4 linked regions of the Arabidopsis thaliana genome follow. The protein of the gene in region 1 interacts with the protein of each later gene in a pairwise test. Each region holds a gene or a part of one and is shown in the gene's direction. Other genes may lie near its edges.

Region 1 (4,346 bases):
TGTATATATATAAAAGGCAGGAACAATTTAATTGTATTCACATAATTCGTTGCCAAATCCTGTCATACATTCCCAAAATTCCCTAAAATATGATCTTGTTAATAGTTTCTAGCTTATTCCTTAAGCTTGAATTTACGTTAAATCAATTTTGAAAGAAATTAAGGTTTTGGCTTTGACAGACGTTACCAACCAAGCAATGACTAAAGGCGGCTTTGGTAGTGGGCTGCTTTAGACGACGGGTAGGTTTGGCAAGCTTCTTTGTTGGGACAAAAAAATTGTTGTGATAAATTTCACCACAAGTTTTATGAACATACATCATAATTAATATTGTTGCAGCATATATTAGTTAGACCAATATACCACTGACACCATCTATATAAAAGTTAGTACATGTCTATCACAGTACCAAAAAAATGAAATGTACAAGTCTATCTCGCTCTAAGAATAATTTGTGTTTAAAATATACCACCATATCCGGAAAGATCCTTGGAAATGCCTTTAATGAAGGCTTCCAATCGCCTTCTTAAAATAATCTGTGACATTGTGTTGTGATCATCTTAAAATGCCTTAAAATTGTGTTGGATAATCTACGGAACCGATGTGGAAAAAGAAATCCATGGAACCTTTGATTTGAGATGAACAGTTACCACAATTTATATGATCATTAAAATTATACGATATATAAGTGGTTCATATTTATTTAATATTTTCCCCATATTTAAGTGAGGACCAAAAAACTGATACAAAACTTTTTCTTGCAAAATTACAAATGTAACTTTGTTACAGTCAATTTCATCTCAAGATTACATAATCAAAACCAGAGTTCTTAATTTGAAACCGTACAGTACTATATATGCAGTAACTCAATATTCTTCGTAAACAACCAGTGTGGGTTAAAGGCGCGGTCAATTACAGAAGACTTTATATATAGTAGTGATCAAGTTGGATACAAAGAGGAAAGAAAATGGTTTGTGATTGTGGGCAAAAATCTCAGTGGCAAAGACACTTAGAAGAGAAGTGGACCACAAATCTCTTTGTGAGTATTTAGGCATTAGATGCTTTAAAGAAAAACCTATACTCGTTGGTCCATTCTCTATCTCAGAGACAGACCCTTACCTCCTCTAGCTGTCAATCTCTATTATATTTACTTATATATGTTGATATTAAAACAAAAAATTTATATATATGGATATTTTCTATATATGCTTAAAAATATAACCCACAAGTAGTTAATTAGAAATAAAAGCAGTATTCCCAACAGTTTGATTTTAACAAGTCTACATTTCATTATCACTAAATTTAGGGTTTCAACAAGTTGCTTCGTTAATAATGAAATTCAACAATTTATCTACAAATAAAACTTTTCATTTTCCAAAACGACAGAAACTCAAATGAAATGAGCGACGACTGTAAATAAATTGGTCTTTCCATTTGTTTATATTATGAATTTTTTTGAATTTACTAAAATTTGGTTTCATAAAACTTTCAAACTCGATCTTGTATATATATATGTTTCACAGTTCAAAGTTCAAACCACTTTTACCATTATTAATTTACTATACATGTACTATATTTTTTTTTCACTTTAAAAGCTCTTGTTACCATTTATAACTATTAATTTGTCAACCGTACACTTTCTCTTAAATGACCTTAACCGTATGTTTATATTTTTGTTTAAGATAAGAAGACAACATAGATCACAAACTTGGGTAAAAATTAAATCATATAAAATTCAAAATGAATGTCTAACACCAAGGAAAGGGAACCAAAACTTGAATACTAAAATATATTAAAATTTATTGTAAAGGTTTTTTTTTTGTCAACTATTGTAAAGTTTTATATATATAAGATTTATGTGACTGTGAGTGTAACGAAACATGCACATTCCCATCACAGTATCAATACACTACATAAATTGCTCCTCTTTTGTCCTTCTGCATAAATTCCTTTCATACCGAAAAAAAAAAGCCCTAGGGATCGGAATATAATACTTAAAAATATATCTAATTCATTTATTATTTAACTTCCCCAATCATTATAATATACATATGTAATTCTAGTTTCCAAAAAAAGAAATACTACACATTCCTCTGCCTCCTTATCTCTTTCTTATTCTTCTTCTTCCTCCTTCTTCTACTTCTCTATCAAGCTGGATCTTGAAATAGGACTCAAGCTTACCAGTATTCAATCAACGTAAGAACATATAACCTTCAACATGTTTGAATTTCAAATTCTTATGAGCTTTCTTTTCTTTGATGCAAACTCAAGAAAGAGATATTATTGCTTTGTTTTCATGTGAATCTCGCTCCAAAAACATATTTAAAATCAACAATTTCATTCAATTGAAAGCTAACAACAACTAATTCTTGTCTTCTTGATTTATTTTCTATTAAATTGGTCAATTTATTCCCTTCTTGTTTCAGATCTGTTCTTTACACCAAATTGAGTACTGAAGATCTTGTTGAGTGAATTAAAGAGATGAGATCAGGAGAATGTGATGAAGAGGAGATTCAAGCAAAGCAAGAAAGAGATCAAAATCAAAATCATCAAGTAAACTTAAACCACATGTTGCAACAACAACAGCCGAGTTCGGTATCATCTTCAAGGCAATGGACTTCAGCTTTTAGGAATCCAAGAATCGTTCGAGTCTCAAGAACATTCGGTGGCAAAGACAGACACAGCAAAGTATGTACAGTCCGTGGTCTTCGAGACCGGAGGATAAGGTTGTCCGTACCTACAGCTATTCAACTCTACGACCTTCAAGATCGATTAGGGCTGAGTCAGCCAAGCAAAGTCATTGATTGGTTACTCGAAGCAGCAAAAGATGACGTAGACAAGCTACCTCCTCTACAATTCCCACATGGATTTAACCAGATGTATCCAAATCTCATCTTCGGAAACTCCGGGTTTGGAGAATCTCCATCTTCAACTACATCAACAACGTTTCCAGGAACCAATCTCGGGTTCTTGGAAAATTGGGATCTTGGTGGTTCTTCAAGAACAAGAGCAAGATTAACCGATACAACTACGACCCAAAGAGAAAGTTTTGATCTTGATAAAGGAAAATGGATCAAAAACGACGAGAATAGTAATCAAGATCATCAAGGGTTTAACACCAATCATCAACAACAATTTCCTCTGACCAATCCGTACAACAACACTTCAGCTTATTACAACCTTGGACATCTTCAACAATCGTTAGACCAATCTGGTAATAACGTTACTGTCGCAATATCTAATGTTGCTGCTAATAATAACAATAATCTCAATTTGCATCCTCCTTCCTCGTCTGCCGGAGATGGATCTCAGCTTTTTTTCGGTCCTACTCCTCCGGCAATGAGCTCTCTATTCCCGACATACCCTTCGTTTCTTGGAGCTTCTCATCATCATCATGTCGTCGATGGAGCCGGTCATCTTCAGCTCTTTAGCTCGAATTCAAATACCGCATCGCAGCAACACATGATGCCGGGTAATACGAGTTTGATTAGACCATTTCATCATTTGATGAGCTCGAATCATGATACGGATCATCATAGTAGCGATAATGAATCAGATTCTTGAATGATTTTATATATCTACACTATACATTGAAAATGTTATATGTATACGTATTCTTCTATATTTTGATATATATGCGTATTGTTGGATTGGTTTATGTATCTTCTTCGTGTATGTATACACTTTTTAATAGTCTCGGATTTAGATTCGAACAAAGACATTCATAATGCGAGGATGGTTGTTATTTCTATATATGTTTTAGTTTTGAAGGTAGTTTTTGCTTCCTTAAGAAATTATATGAATTCTACTTGAATGTCTTTCTCTATTCATTTATGAATATATACACTCGAATAAATGAATTGTACAATATAGGTATCTCATAACTAGCTAGCACTTTCATCCTAATCCATAATCTAGATTAGTTAATCATATTTCATATGTTAGGATTTAGGTTTTACATATATGGAATTTTTTATTGTTATCACGAATGTGAGAAAGTGAATAAAAACGCAAAGAACAATAATACTTTTCAAAATAGGATGGAGGAAAAACAGATTCAGAAAAAGAAAAAGAAAAAAAGAGTATTAACATAACCCTAATTCAACTTTAAACCAAATAGGTCCATCGAAACCCATATGCTATTCTACCATCGTATGACCAGATTCAAAGCATTTCACCAATCACCATTATATATATATATATAGGCATCACAATGTTGCTAAGAAAAAACATTATGTAATTTTTTTAATCAAAATATGATATGATCTATCTTAATCATCATTATGCAATGATTACATAGTCAGGACTTGAATTGGATATAATCGTATCTACAAATTAATTTTGATATA
Region 2 (4,976 bases), on another chromosome or scaffold:
GAATGGGGTCTCCAATGCGCCGGCTCTTTCGTCAAGGGCTTACCGGAGAGTTCTTTCTTCGTCGGATGTTTAATCGGAGGTTTGGTTCTCTCAACACTTGCTGATTCTTCCTTGGGTCGTAAAAACATGTTGTTTCTGTCCTGTCTCGTTATGGCGATATCAACGATGCTAACGGTTTTCTCACCAAACATTTGGGTTTACGCTGTTCTTCGATTCGTTAATGGATTTGGTCGAGCGACGATAGGGACATGTGCGCTCGTTCTTTCGACGGAATTAGTTGGGAAGAAATGGCGAGGACGAGTAGGGATAATGAGTTTCTTCGGATTCATGCTTGGCTTTTTGTCTCTTCCTTTGATGGCTTACATGAACAGAGGAAGTTCTTGGAGGATTCTCTACGCATGGACTTCGATTCCAACGATAATATACTGCGTTCTTGTTCGGTTTTTCGTTTGTGAGTCTCCAAGGTGGCTTTTCGTTAGAGGCCGTAGAGAAGAAGCTATTTCGATTCTCAAAAGGGTTGCTTCGATTCCGTCTACTGATGTAAGCAGTGGTGGTGCAATATCTATGAGTTTTTCGAGCTTACCTTTTGAAGAAGATGAAGAGAAGCCTAGTACTAATGTTAACATCTTCACGACCATGAAGGTGTTGGTAGAGAAAAGATGGGCGCTTAAGAGATTATCCGCGGTAATGGCCATTGCGTTCGGGATTGGTTTGGTCTATTACGGGATGCCTTTAGCGTTATCGAATCTTGATTTCAACATCTATTTAAGTGCAGCGTTTAATGCGTTGATGGATTTACCAGCGAACCTCATCACGCTTTTCCTAGTCGATAAACTCAGTAGGAGAAACGCGCTTATCGGATTTACGGCTTTAGGTGGAGTCTCTAGCGTTCTCATATTTGCGTTACATAATATGAGAATTGGAAACCACGGGGCGTTACAGTTGGCGTTAGAGCTAATCTCTTACTTTAGCGCGTGTTCGGCTTTTAACATGGAGATGATATACACGATCGAGCTGTTTCCGACATGTGTGAGAAACTCGGCTATCGCAATGGCTAGACAGGCTTTGGTGCTTGGTGGAGTTTTCAGCCCTATTATGGTAGCAGCTGGTCGGAAAAACGCGTTCTGGTCGTTCGGATTGTTTGGTCTTGCTATAGGTTTGTTGGGATTGTTTGCAGTTGGATTGCCAGAGACTAGAGGGAGTGATCTATGTGACACTATGGACGAGGAAGAGTGCAAAGACCGGCGGAGTAAAGTCGCCGTTAATAATGTCATTGCATGAAATGGTGAAGAATTTGAAAACACATGTGAAATTAATGTAGATTTAATTTAGTATTTATCACTTGATTACATTAAGACTTACCACATATCTTTTTTTTTGGTTAGTTGAAAAGTGTTTCTAAGAATGAGCCATCAAAGCACCACTCTGATGAAACAATCTCATTTTACAGTTTACACCTATAACACATGGATTTCTTGAATAACAAAATAATTCAAATTTGTCTCGTTTGGATATTGATGCCGATGGTTAAACGTTTGGCTGTTTGATTTTTGTTAGAGATAATTGTGTTTCTGTTCTAATTTTCACACGTTGTGTGAAAATGAATCGTTCCAATCCCAAGAAAGTATATTCATTGGGGTTGTTGGTAGTTGGCTGTTTGGTAATTGAATGGGAAGAACAAACCAGACAGAAATTTGTACACTTCTTGGTAGATATGTTTAAAAGGTTTAATTTACAAATAGGCCCATCTATCAGCCCTTTTGTAACCCTTTTAGGCCCAACTAAGTGGTCTCAAAGTTCACAAACCCAAAACTTATGTGGATTTATTATTTTAAGCCCACACAAACTAACGAACGGTGAGCTGGCAAGTCACGTGATGACACGTGATCCATCAACCCATCACTTACCATTACCCCAACCGGTACGGAAGTGGTTTTGTATCTTCCTACTTCGACTCCTCTTGGGTAATTATAATTAGTTTTAGATGAACCAAACAATCCCAAAATAATATTAGAAAAAGGGAAGAAAATCTGAAACCAAAAAAAACGAGAAGGGAGTCGAAGAAGAACCTTTCGCGCTCTGACGAAATTCATTACTTACACTGGATTTATACTTTTTTTGTCTTCCTCTCTCAATTATCTCCTTCAACGCCACAAGATCCTAAGGCCTCTCACGGATCTCTCTTAAGATCAATCGCCGCGGCTCATGACGCAGTCGCCTGTTCAACCGCCTCCGCCGCTCCCAGCTCAGCCGCATTCCGCCGCCGGAGGTGTAATAAGAGGCGATGTACAGGTTAGGTGCGCAGGCTGTCGCGTGATTCTGAGGGTGAAAACCGGCGTTGTGGAGTTCTCGTGTCCGACTTGTCAACTTCCCCAAATGTTGCCGCCGGAGCTTCTTTCTAGGGCACGGCCGCAGTTTCCGCAGTCTCCACAACAACCACCACAGCCAATTCAGACGCTTCCGCCACCGATTCAACAGCAGCTTAAGCCTCTTAATCTACCTAGGCCTCCGGTTCCGGCACATGGAATCGATCCGACGAAGATGCAATTGCCTTGCGCTAACTGTCAGGCTATCCTCAATGTGCCTCATGGACTCACTCGGTTCTCGTGTCCTCAGTGCCATGTCGAGCTCGCTGTTGATGTCTCCAAGCTTAATCGGTCTTTAACTGCTTCTCAATCTCATTCTAATCCTCCTACTCCTGCTGCTCCCACAGTCCCGCCTCCGCCTCCTCCCGAAGAAGTCAATGAGGAAGCTATTGAAGTGGAGAGAGAAGAAGATGAAGGTGGAACGGCTGGAGAAACGTTTATGGATTATGTGAGTGCCTCATCTTGAGATCATCTTTTTCTGTCTGTTCAATGTTTTTGATGATACTAATTTGTTTCTTTGTGAAGCGTCCCCCAAAACTTTCGATCGGACCTCCTCATCCTGATCCAATTGTGGAAACATCATCTCTATCTGCAGTGCAACCCCCAGAGCCTACTTATGATCTCAAAATCAAGGAAGAGCTTGAAAGGTCAAAGGCTTTATCGTGTTTGCAGATTGAGACATTAGTTTACGCTTGCCAGGTTGCTTTTAAATGGCAAAAAGTTTGGTTAATGGCATTTAAACGTATCTTCTACCTGTATGACAATGGTTTTTTTTTTATTACAGAGGCATCTCCAGCACCTTGCTGATGGTACCAGAGCAGGCTTTTTTGTTGGAGATGGTGCTGGTGTGGGCAAAGGGCGAACAATTGCCGGGTTGATTTGGGAAAATTGGAAACATGGAAGGAGGAAAGCTTTGTAAGTCTTGTAGAAAGATACTTCTGCGCCATTTACATCCTTGATAAGATATTGTTAGCTCAATTCAATCTGACTTATGATTATACTACATTTGCATAATTGTGTCTACGGTGTCCTTTTTTGGTTTCTTAGATAACTTAAAGTAGGATGAGTTCTAATACTATTTGCTCCTTTTCCTTTATGATTTACATAGGTGGATTTCTATTGGCTCAGACTTGAAATATGATGCAAGAAGGGACTTGGATGATGTGGGTGCTACATGCGTTGGAGGTATTATCTTGATTTTGGCTGTAAATTAAGTTTGTAATTCGCTTATTTTCTTGGGTCACAAATGCTTCATATGTTATACATAATTACATATAGCTTATGCTATAAATTATTTTCTGGCTCATTGTTGAATAGAAAATTTTGAAAGTGGATGGTATAGAGTAGACTGGATCAGAATGAGATTCTGACTTTGCTGAATGGATAAATTGACTCATGCTTTAATATTACGATGTAGAGTACACATGTATTTTTAGAGAACTTATTTTCTTTACTGATAAAGGTAATGGGTCCCTGAACTTTGTTTATGGTGTCTTCATGCCTAGAGAATGTTATGGGTAGCTGATGTTTGTGCAGTTCATGAAAATTTCAGGTAAATAAAAGTTGGACTGTAACTTTAGAATAGTCCAATAGGATATTTGATTCTTAGTCTCATTAATCCTTTATAGGTTTGAGCTTGGAATTTTAATAGAATATTAGGAGATGGAAAAATACGACAAATCAAGGGAACCATGTCGATGGATAAGTTCATTCAAGTGAACAAATGTCCAGTTTGTTTTTTCTGCAACTAAATAACAATATGTTTGACGTGCAGTGAATCCTTTGAACAAGCTACCCTATTCTAAGCTTGACTCGAAAAATGTTGGTATTAAAGAAGGAGTGGTATTCTTGACATACAATAGCCTCATTGCTTCCTCTGAGAAGGGCCGTTCTCGTTTACAGCAGCTTGTTCAATGGTGTGGACCAGAATTTGATGGTCTCTTGATCTTTGATGAGGTAACAGTTCTATGAATGAAGTATATTAAATTATTTGCGTTAAAATCATCATCCCCCTTTTTTTGTGAATTGAACAATTTGAGTATACCCTGTCGTTGTAAGTTGCTTGATCACTGGTTTTATCAATTTTGGGCCAACCTCTAATCTTTAGTACATTGTGCAGGTACTAATTTGTTTTCCTTTTTTATAGTGCCATAAAGCGAAAAATTTGGTACCTGAAGCTGGGAGTCAGCCGACACGCATCGGACAGGCAGTTGTTGACATTCAGGTCTGGCTACTTGAAACTGAATGTTCTTATCAGTGTTGCTTTTAATATTGCTCTTGGCTCTGAAGAGTGAGAGATTATATACTTCGACTTGTCTTTTTGGGTTGTACTTTTTCTCGGTTTCAGATAATATAGTGTATATTCTAGTTTAACATGCTTAATTTGTGGTTAGTGCCATCTAGTTGACTCTAACTAATGAATTCTGGAAAAGCAGGATAAGATCCCCCAAGCACGTGTTATTTATTGCTCGGCTACTGGGGCATCAGAACCACGAAACATGGGTTATATGGTCAGGCTTGGTCTTTGGGGAGCTGGAACAAGTTTTAGTGATTTTAACAAATTCCTAGGTTGGTTTTCTTTTCTACTCCTGTTGATTAATTGATTTTTTT
Region 3 (3,401 bases), about 22 Mb from region 1:
ATTTAAGAAGTAAATTAAATTTATGTGTCTTATATATTCTATTATTTTACATGTTTTTGTGGAAATTTAGAAACTAGCTGTCCAAAATGAATCATTTAACTTTCACATGTATGAAAAATATTAATAGACTTAATTAAAAAACACTCTAAATTTATGATCAGGCAATAAAAAAATTGTTCATTGCTCCAATCCATCCGAATTTGTATTATATAAAATACATGGCAAAATAAAACTTCTTTTAACTAAACTATATTATATTATAAGTCTTGCTCATGACTGTTATATACTTTAATAATATGATCGAATGCTAGCTATTATATTAAATACACAGTTACTCTTTTAATTGCGGTTTTCATTTTAAACCGCTATAAATGCGAAAACTATATAGTGTATACTTATATCGAATCAAATTAATTTCCAAAACTTGTGTGTGTATAAGTAGATGTTCATACATGTAGTTGGCAGTTGGGTGGATTTAATAAGAATATAATATACAGTGAACAATGGATTAATACCAAAGAAGTAACCCTATAATGCATGATTGCAGCCTGCATGCGCAATTTGTATGATTATAATGCAGACCAAATCATAACATATGTGCAAAATATACGCTTATATCTCATATATGTACATATACATGTGTATTTATACATTGCTTTTGTGTTGAGGCATATGACATAAGAAACTTGTCACATTAAATCAGAACCGTCTGATTTTTGTATAAACGGATCGAAACAACGTATATAAATTTGCCTCTTTTGAAGTCTCATAAAATTTCGTGTATTTTACGGATTTGTGTTTGTTTTATACACTTGTATACAAGAACGTTGTTACGTAGATGTGAACTTTGTTAATAAAAAGCAGAAATTGCTTCATGGAAAATGATATATTCACCACCGTCTTATATAAACGAGTCACGACGATGATACACGTCTTTCTTATTAATGACAATCATGGATAACACCCAAATGTTGAAGAAGCTAAGGTGTCCCCATGCGAGTGATTTGATGTTTGTTATCCTTATAAACCTTTAATCACGTCGCAAGTTATAGAATAGCTTTGTGGAAAAAAGCAAGTTGATCATTTGTTTTATAATAATATATAACATTGCGAGTTTCACACACAATTTACATTCAATATTGGACTCCATCGAGGGGAGAGAGAAAATCACGACCGTTGATCGGGATAAGAGTATAGGATCAACAAAATGTGCTATTTCGTGAAGAGACAAGAGAATGAGAGAAAATTTATCAAGATTTCCTATTTTAGTGAATGGGTTTTGTGAAGAGAGAAGGAGATAATTAAAGGGATTGTAAATTGAGAAGTCAGAATAAGAGCACACAAGTGGTGACATCTTTTGTGAATCAAAGAGAAACTCATGTTCATATAAAGTAATTCACATTCTTATAGCTAGTGGTTATTAGTTTATTACTTTGGTGAAAGCCACTTTCTCGATATACCCTAAATTCAAGTCTCAATGTGGGAGAGGGAAACCCTAGCCAACTCAAAACTATCTCATTAGTCAACTGGAGCTGCTCATTAAAAAAAAAAAAAAAAAAGCGATTATGCCAACTATATGTATACAAAAGTGCTACAACGTTTATAAACATTTTCGGAGCATAAAAAAACTTCTTATTCAACTATATACAATTTAATCTTTTTCTTTGGTAACGACTAGTGACGTCCACTTATTGAAAAGATACATATAAATAAAATTATTCTTTATTTTTTCTCCGAACCAAAATCCTTAATTGCATCACCAACCTAACCCCTCATCATATGATCACCTTTCTTTTTTTCCTTTAATATATATATATGCTCACACACACACATATATATATACATATAAGCATCGCCTCAAGCATTAAAATTTTTACGAACCAAACAAACAAAAATTATGAATAATTATAATATGAACCCATCTCTCTTCCAAAATTACACTTGGAACAACATCATCAACAGCAGCAACAACAACAACAAGAATGATGATCATCATCATCAACATAATAATGATCCAATCGGTATGGCCATGGACCAGTACACACAGCTCCATATCTTCAATCCTTTCTCTTCTTCTCATTTCCCTCCTCTCTCTTCTTCCCTCACAACCACCACTCTTCTCTCCGGAGATCAAGAAGACGACGAAGACGAAGAAGAACCTCTAGAGGAACTCGGTGCTATGAAGGAAATGATGTACAAGATCGCAGCCATGCAATCGGTTGACATCGACCCAGCAACCGTCAAGAAACCCAAACGCCGTAACGTGAGGATCTCCGACGACCCTCAGAGTGTGGCGGCTAGACATCGCCGTGAGAGAATCAGTGAGAGGATCAGAATTCTTCAGAGACTCGTGCCAGGTGGCACTAAAATGGATACGGCTTCAATGCTCGATGAAGCTATACGCTATGTCAAGTTCTTGAAACGGCAGATCCGGCTACTCAATAATAATACCGGATATACTCCTCCGCCGCCGCAAGATCAAGCTTCTCAGGCGGTGACGACGTCATGGGTTTCACCGCCACCACCGCCAAGTTTCGGCCGTGGGGGAAGAGGAGTAGGAGAATTAATCTAGACAAGATGACATTTCCATTAGTAGTAACTAAATTATGCTATAATGTGTGAGTAATGGTGCAATTATGGAAAGTGTTTATATATAATAAAAATGGATACGAAATAAGGGTTTGTTAGGATATATAATATATTGTTGTTGACCGTGAAAAGGTTGTGGAATAATCATAACGGTTAGCTTGAGTTGTGTACCACCATATATTTAATATTATGTTATCATTTCGTATATAATAATAAGTTCTTGATTTGGAGTTTGGTTGTATACAAGTTTTGGCCGGGCATTTTTCGGGCATAAGAACCATGACGCCATCAAAGAACCCTATTTAAATAGTGTTATCATTACTGTGGACTTTTGTCTTTGTATACACACAACGCATATATTTGTGAAGTACTATATTTTAGAGCATATAATATGAATGTACTCTATTGCTTCATTTTCATCTTTTTACGTACATACCTCACTTTGAACGTTAATACCTATACATATTGAAAATCGTTTTGTTATGATTAGAATAAGCTTTAAGAATTCCTAAATTACAATAAGCTTTAGGGCTTTTTTTTTAATATATAGCTTCACAACTAGCAACGAAAAATCCAAAAAGAAAAAAGTTGTTATGAAAATAATATCCGTACGTTTAGTCTATTAGATTATACTTGTTAGTATCCGATTAAACATCACCTGAAAACTAAAAAGTCTAACAGACTAAACGTATCCGATTATACTTGTTGTAAAAATGTTAACGAAAAATGTTTAGCTATAGTAACGTTTAGCATAATGAAAATTACGACAATCATCCCATAAAATGATGTTTTGTAATATAAAGTAATCTCAA
Region 4 (3,731 bases), on another chromosome or scaffold:
GATGTACAACATCTCATCTGGTTACTTCATTTATATAAAAAAAAAACGAAATCTCAACACATAGTAATGTATAATTACTTCAGTGGGGCTTCTCTTAAGACTTGTATTGAGAATATCCATATAAAACAAACTTTGTATTAAGATAATTAAAATTTTCTAATAGTAGGTATTGGGCTGAAGCCAAGATTAACATGGAGGCAGCTTTAAAATGTTTCCTTATATGATGCAGCCATCATTTCTACTCTACTCCGTAGCTCCAAACCCTTCTCGTAATTCACGTCTCTCATGCTATTCTTTTTGCTTTCGTCCTCCTCTCATGTGAAGCAATAACTATCTCTCGATTTTTTTTTTCAAATACCGAAAGCTAACTTTTTCAAATAAATGTCAAATATATTAATTTTCGTTTTGTATTTAGTATTTTATTTGTCAGCTAAGTATAGTGAGTTTTTAAGCTTACTCGTCGTATTTATCATATATTCATATACATATCACATTAGTCAAAGTAAATAAAAATTTGTTTTTGAAGAAAAAAAAAATACATATAACTGCGAGTCTGCGACTGTAACTGGACTTGCTTATTTTAGTTGATATGAGCTGAGTAAAATCACGTTGTCCCAGACCTTGCTCGCTACAATCGGCGAATGGTCTAACGTCCCGACACCTGTCCTCGATCCGCGGGTACTATATTCTTTGCAATGTGATGCACGCGCTGTTACTATTGGACAGTGTTTCTCACCTCACGACTGAGCCTATGCGAGTAGCGACAATCTCCGATTTGCTGTCTCCATGGTAGGGATTATCACAATCTCTGATTTTTTTTATCAGGAACAAGTAAATAAATAGCTTTGAGTTTTTGTTTTTTTTCTACATTCTTCGCCCAAAAGATGTAAGAAAATAAAGGATTTGAAACCTTGTTCTGTTGTTACTCCTTTAAATTCTTAAAAACTATAAATCATTATATCTTTGATCTGTTTCACAAACTAATCATATTCGTTGCAAAGTGAGAATTCGTCCCACTTTACTCTTTACACCGATACTAGTATTATAGATGTACAGCATAGTATTCCATATCTAGTTATTTAGTCAAAACTCTATATATTAAGAGGTAGGTTAATTAATTAAGGAGTAATTGAAGATTATAGAAAGAATAAAAAATACCATTTAATGGACAGAACCAAAGATAACTAACTATCATACTATAATGTTGAATTTCTTCCACGATCCAATGCATGGATAACAACATCAATCAAATCATACATTCATGCTATATAACATAGTTTTCAGTTACAAACTCTCTTTTTTATTTATTTCAGTTGTTCCTTTTCATGACCATATTAACATCAAATAATGCATTTTTTTCAACGTCTCTTGACTTACACCCACTAATATTGACAAATTGAACATCTATACGACTATACACACATAAGTTAAAAATGCATGCAAGTGCTAAGGGAATTTATAACATCTAAGGTTAATAAGACTAAGAAAGTATAAAATAAGAATACGTATTATGAATTTATGATATACTTTACTAATCTTTTTGAAAAATACTTTAATTTAATCTACTATAGGGGGTAAAAAGTAAAAAAGAAATAAAGATACGTTTATCCGCATATAGTACCTGGAAATAACAGAAAATAAAAACACAGGTAAGTACTTTGCCTGAGCTAGTATATGAACACTAAAGAGATACACACACACAAAAAGAGAGCAGAAACAAAACACACACACTTAAAGCTTTCGTCTTTACCTCTTCCCTTCTCTCTCTCTATCTAAAAAGAGTTCCGAGAAGAAGATCATCATCAATGGCGACTTCTCTCTTCTTCATGTCAACAGATCAAAACTCCGTCGGAAACCCAAACGATCTTCTGAGAAACACCCGTCTTGTCGTCAACAGCTCCGGCGAGATCCGGACAGAGACACTGAAGAGTCGTGGTCGGAAACCAGGATCGAAGACAGGTCAGCAAAAACAGAAGAAACCAACGTTGAGAGGAATGGGTGTAGCAAAGCTCGAGCGTCAGAGAATCGAAGAAGAAAAGAAGCAACTCGCCGCCGCCACAGTCGGAGACACGTCATCAGTAGCATCGATCTCTAACAACGCTACCCGTTTACCCGTACCGGTAGACCCGGGTGTTGTGCTACAAGGCTTCCCAAGCTCACTCGGGAGCAACAGGATCTATTGTGGTGGAGTCGGGTCGGGTCAGGTTATGATCGACCCGGTTATTTCTCCATGGGGTTTTGTTGAGACCTCCTCCACTACTCATGAGCTCTCTTCAATCTCAAATCCTCAAATGTTTAACGCTTCTTCCAATAATCGCTGTGACACTTGCTTCAAGGTTTGTTTGTTTTTTAATCGTTTTCATCAACATGATTGATATATATATAGTTTTTGCACTTGAAAAAGTTTTGATTTTTATTTATGTAAAAAACTGCAGAAGAAACGTTTGGATGGTGATCAGAATAATGTAGTTCGATCCAACGGTGGTGGATTTTCGAAATACACAATGATTCCTCCTCCGATGAACGGCTACGATCAGTATCTTCTTCAATCAGATCATCATCAGAGGAGCCAAGGTTTCCTTTATGATCATAGAATCGCTAGAGCAGCTTCAGTTTCTGCTTCTAGTACTACTATTAATCCTTATTTCAACGAGGCAACAAATCATACGGTACTAAGTATAGTCCATTTATTAATACTCATATATAGGTATATATGTATATAACTGTTGATCTTATTTGATTTAACTGGTGGGTTTAGGGACCAATGGAGGAATTTGGGAGCTACATGGAAGGAAACCCTAGAAATGGATCAGGAGGTGTGAAGGAGTACGAGTTTTTTCCGGGGAAATATGGTGAAAGAGTTTCAGTGGTGGCTAAAACGTCGTCACTCGTAGGTGATTGCAGTCCTAATACCATTGATTTGTCCTTGAAGCTTTAAATGTTTTATCTTTCTATATTGATTTAAACAAAATCGTCTCTTTAAAGAAAAAACATTTTAAGTAGATGAAAGTAAGAAACAGAAGAAAAAAAAGAGAGAGCCTTTTTTGGTGTATGCATCTGAGAGCTGAGTCGAAAGAAAGATTCAGCTTTTGGATTACCCTTTTGGTTGTTTATTATGAGATTCTAACCTAAACACTCAGACATATATGTTCTGTTCTCTTCCTTAATTGTTGTCATGAAACTTCTCTCTCCCTCTCTCTCTCTAAAGTTGTGTCAGATCTTGGGGCTTGTATCCATTTTGTGTTTCTTTAGTTAGGCAATGATCCTGTCATGATTCATGTTATCACCTAATTAATCCTCGGTTTTCGAAACGGTGTCATGCATATCTGATTAATCTTGTTATCTGGTGTGAGATAAATGTATCAAATTGCTCTTGTTTATAGCTTTTCCAATTAATGTCATTGCATAGCATATGGGATGTACAGCTTCGTTTTCGATTTATAAAATTTATACATGTGTTTGGTACGTACTGTTTTGTTTTGGATCAGAATTATAAATTTAGTACAGTATAAACTACTTTAAAAATTGGCCAATGAGAATTTTGAGTTTATCTTCTTTTTATAAGTTGATTGATTTTGCTTTGTTTATTTATAGAAAATATGAAATTTTATCAATTATTTTTGGGATGCTTTTTTATTGATTTTAGTTCGGCTAAAATTAGTTAGATGTTTAAATTTATTAAAACAGATATGCAAAAATTAACTCGATGGTTTTTTTTTTTTTTTTTAGGG

The links.
Region 2: the proteins of TCP5 (region 1) and EMB1135 interact in binary tests that used the Arabidopsis thaliana proteins (3 or more experiments, as listed by UniProt).
Region 3: the proteins of TCP5 (region 1) and HEC3 interact in binary tests that used the Arabidopsis thaliana proteins (3 or more experiments, as listed by UniProt).
Region 4: the proteins of TCP5 (region 1) and SPL interact in a two-hybrid assay, tested with the Arabidopsis thaliana proteins (3 studies listed by BioGRID, with this or other methods).

The regions. Positions count from the first base shown.
Region 1 is NC_003076.8:24,534,785-24,539,130, reverse strand, and holds TCP5 (TEOSINTE BRANCHED 1, cycloidea and PCF transcription factor 5), read left to right. Parts: upstream 1-1,886; 5' UTR 1,887-2,193; intron 2,194-2,423; 5' UTR 2,424-2,478; coding exon 2,479-3,561; 3' UTR 3,562-3,794; downstream 3,795-4,346.
Region 2 is NC_003070.9:29,850,445-29,855,420, reverse strand, and holds the start of EMB1135 (RING/FYVE/PHD zinc finger superfamily protein), read left to right. Parts: upstream 1-1,954; 5' UTR 1,955-2,205; coding exon 2,206-2,814; intron 2,815-2,891; coding exon 2,892-3,065; intron 3,066-3,150; coding exon 3,151-3,281; intron 3,282-3,474; coding exon 3,475-3,551; intron 3,552-4,140; coding exon 4,141-4,322; intron 4,323-4,512; coding exon 4,513-4,590; intron 4,591-4,801; coding exon 4,802-4,934; intron 4,935-4,976. Other genes in the region: OCT2 (organic cation/carnitine transporter 2), read left to right, coding at 1-1,281. UniProt on the Arabidopsis thaliana protein: Required for normal embryo development. Necessary to acquire heat stress (HS) memory, by modulating nucleosome occupancy and regulating heat-induced gene expression.
Region 3 is NC_003076.8:3,025,572-3,028,972, reverse strand, and holds HEC3 (basic helix-loop-helix (bHLH) DNA-binding superfamily protein), read left to right. Parts: upstream 1-1,858; 5' UTR 1,859-1,897; coding exon 1,898-2,572; 3' UTR 2,573-2,864; downstream 2,865-3,401. UniProt on the Arabidopsis thaliana protein: Required for the female reproductive tract development and fertility.
Region 4 is NC_003075.7:13,681,534-13,685,264, reverse strand, and holds SPL (sporocyteless (SPL)), read left to right. Parts: upstream 1-1,670; 5' UTR 1,671-1,805; coding exon 1,806-2,336; intron 2,337-2,435; coding exon 2,436-2,669; intron 2,670-2,758; coding exon 2,759-2,938; 3' UTR 2,939-3,187; downstream 3,188-3,731. UniProt on the Arabidopsis thaliana protein: Transcriptional regulator of sporocyte development. Acts as an adapter-like transcriptional repressor recruiting TPL/TPR corepressors to inhibit TCP transcription factors. Required for nucellus and embryo sac development.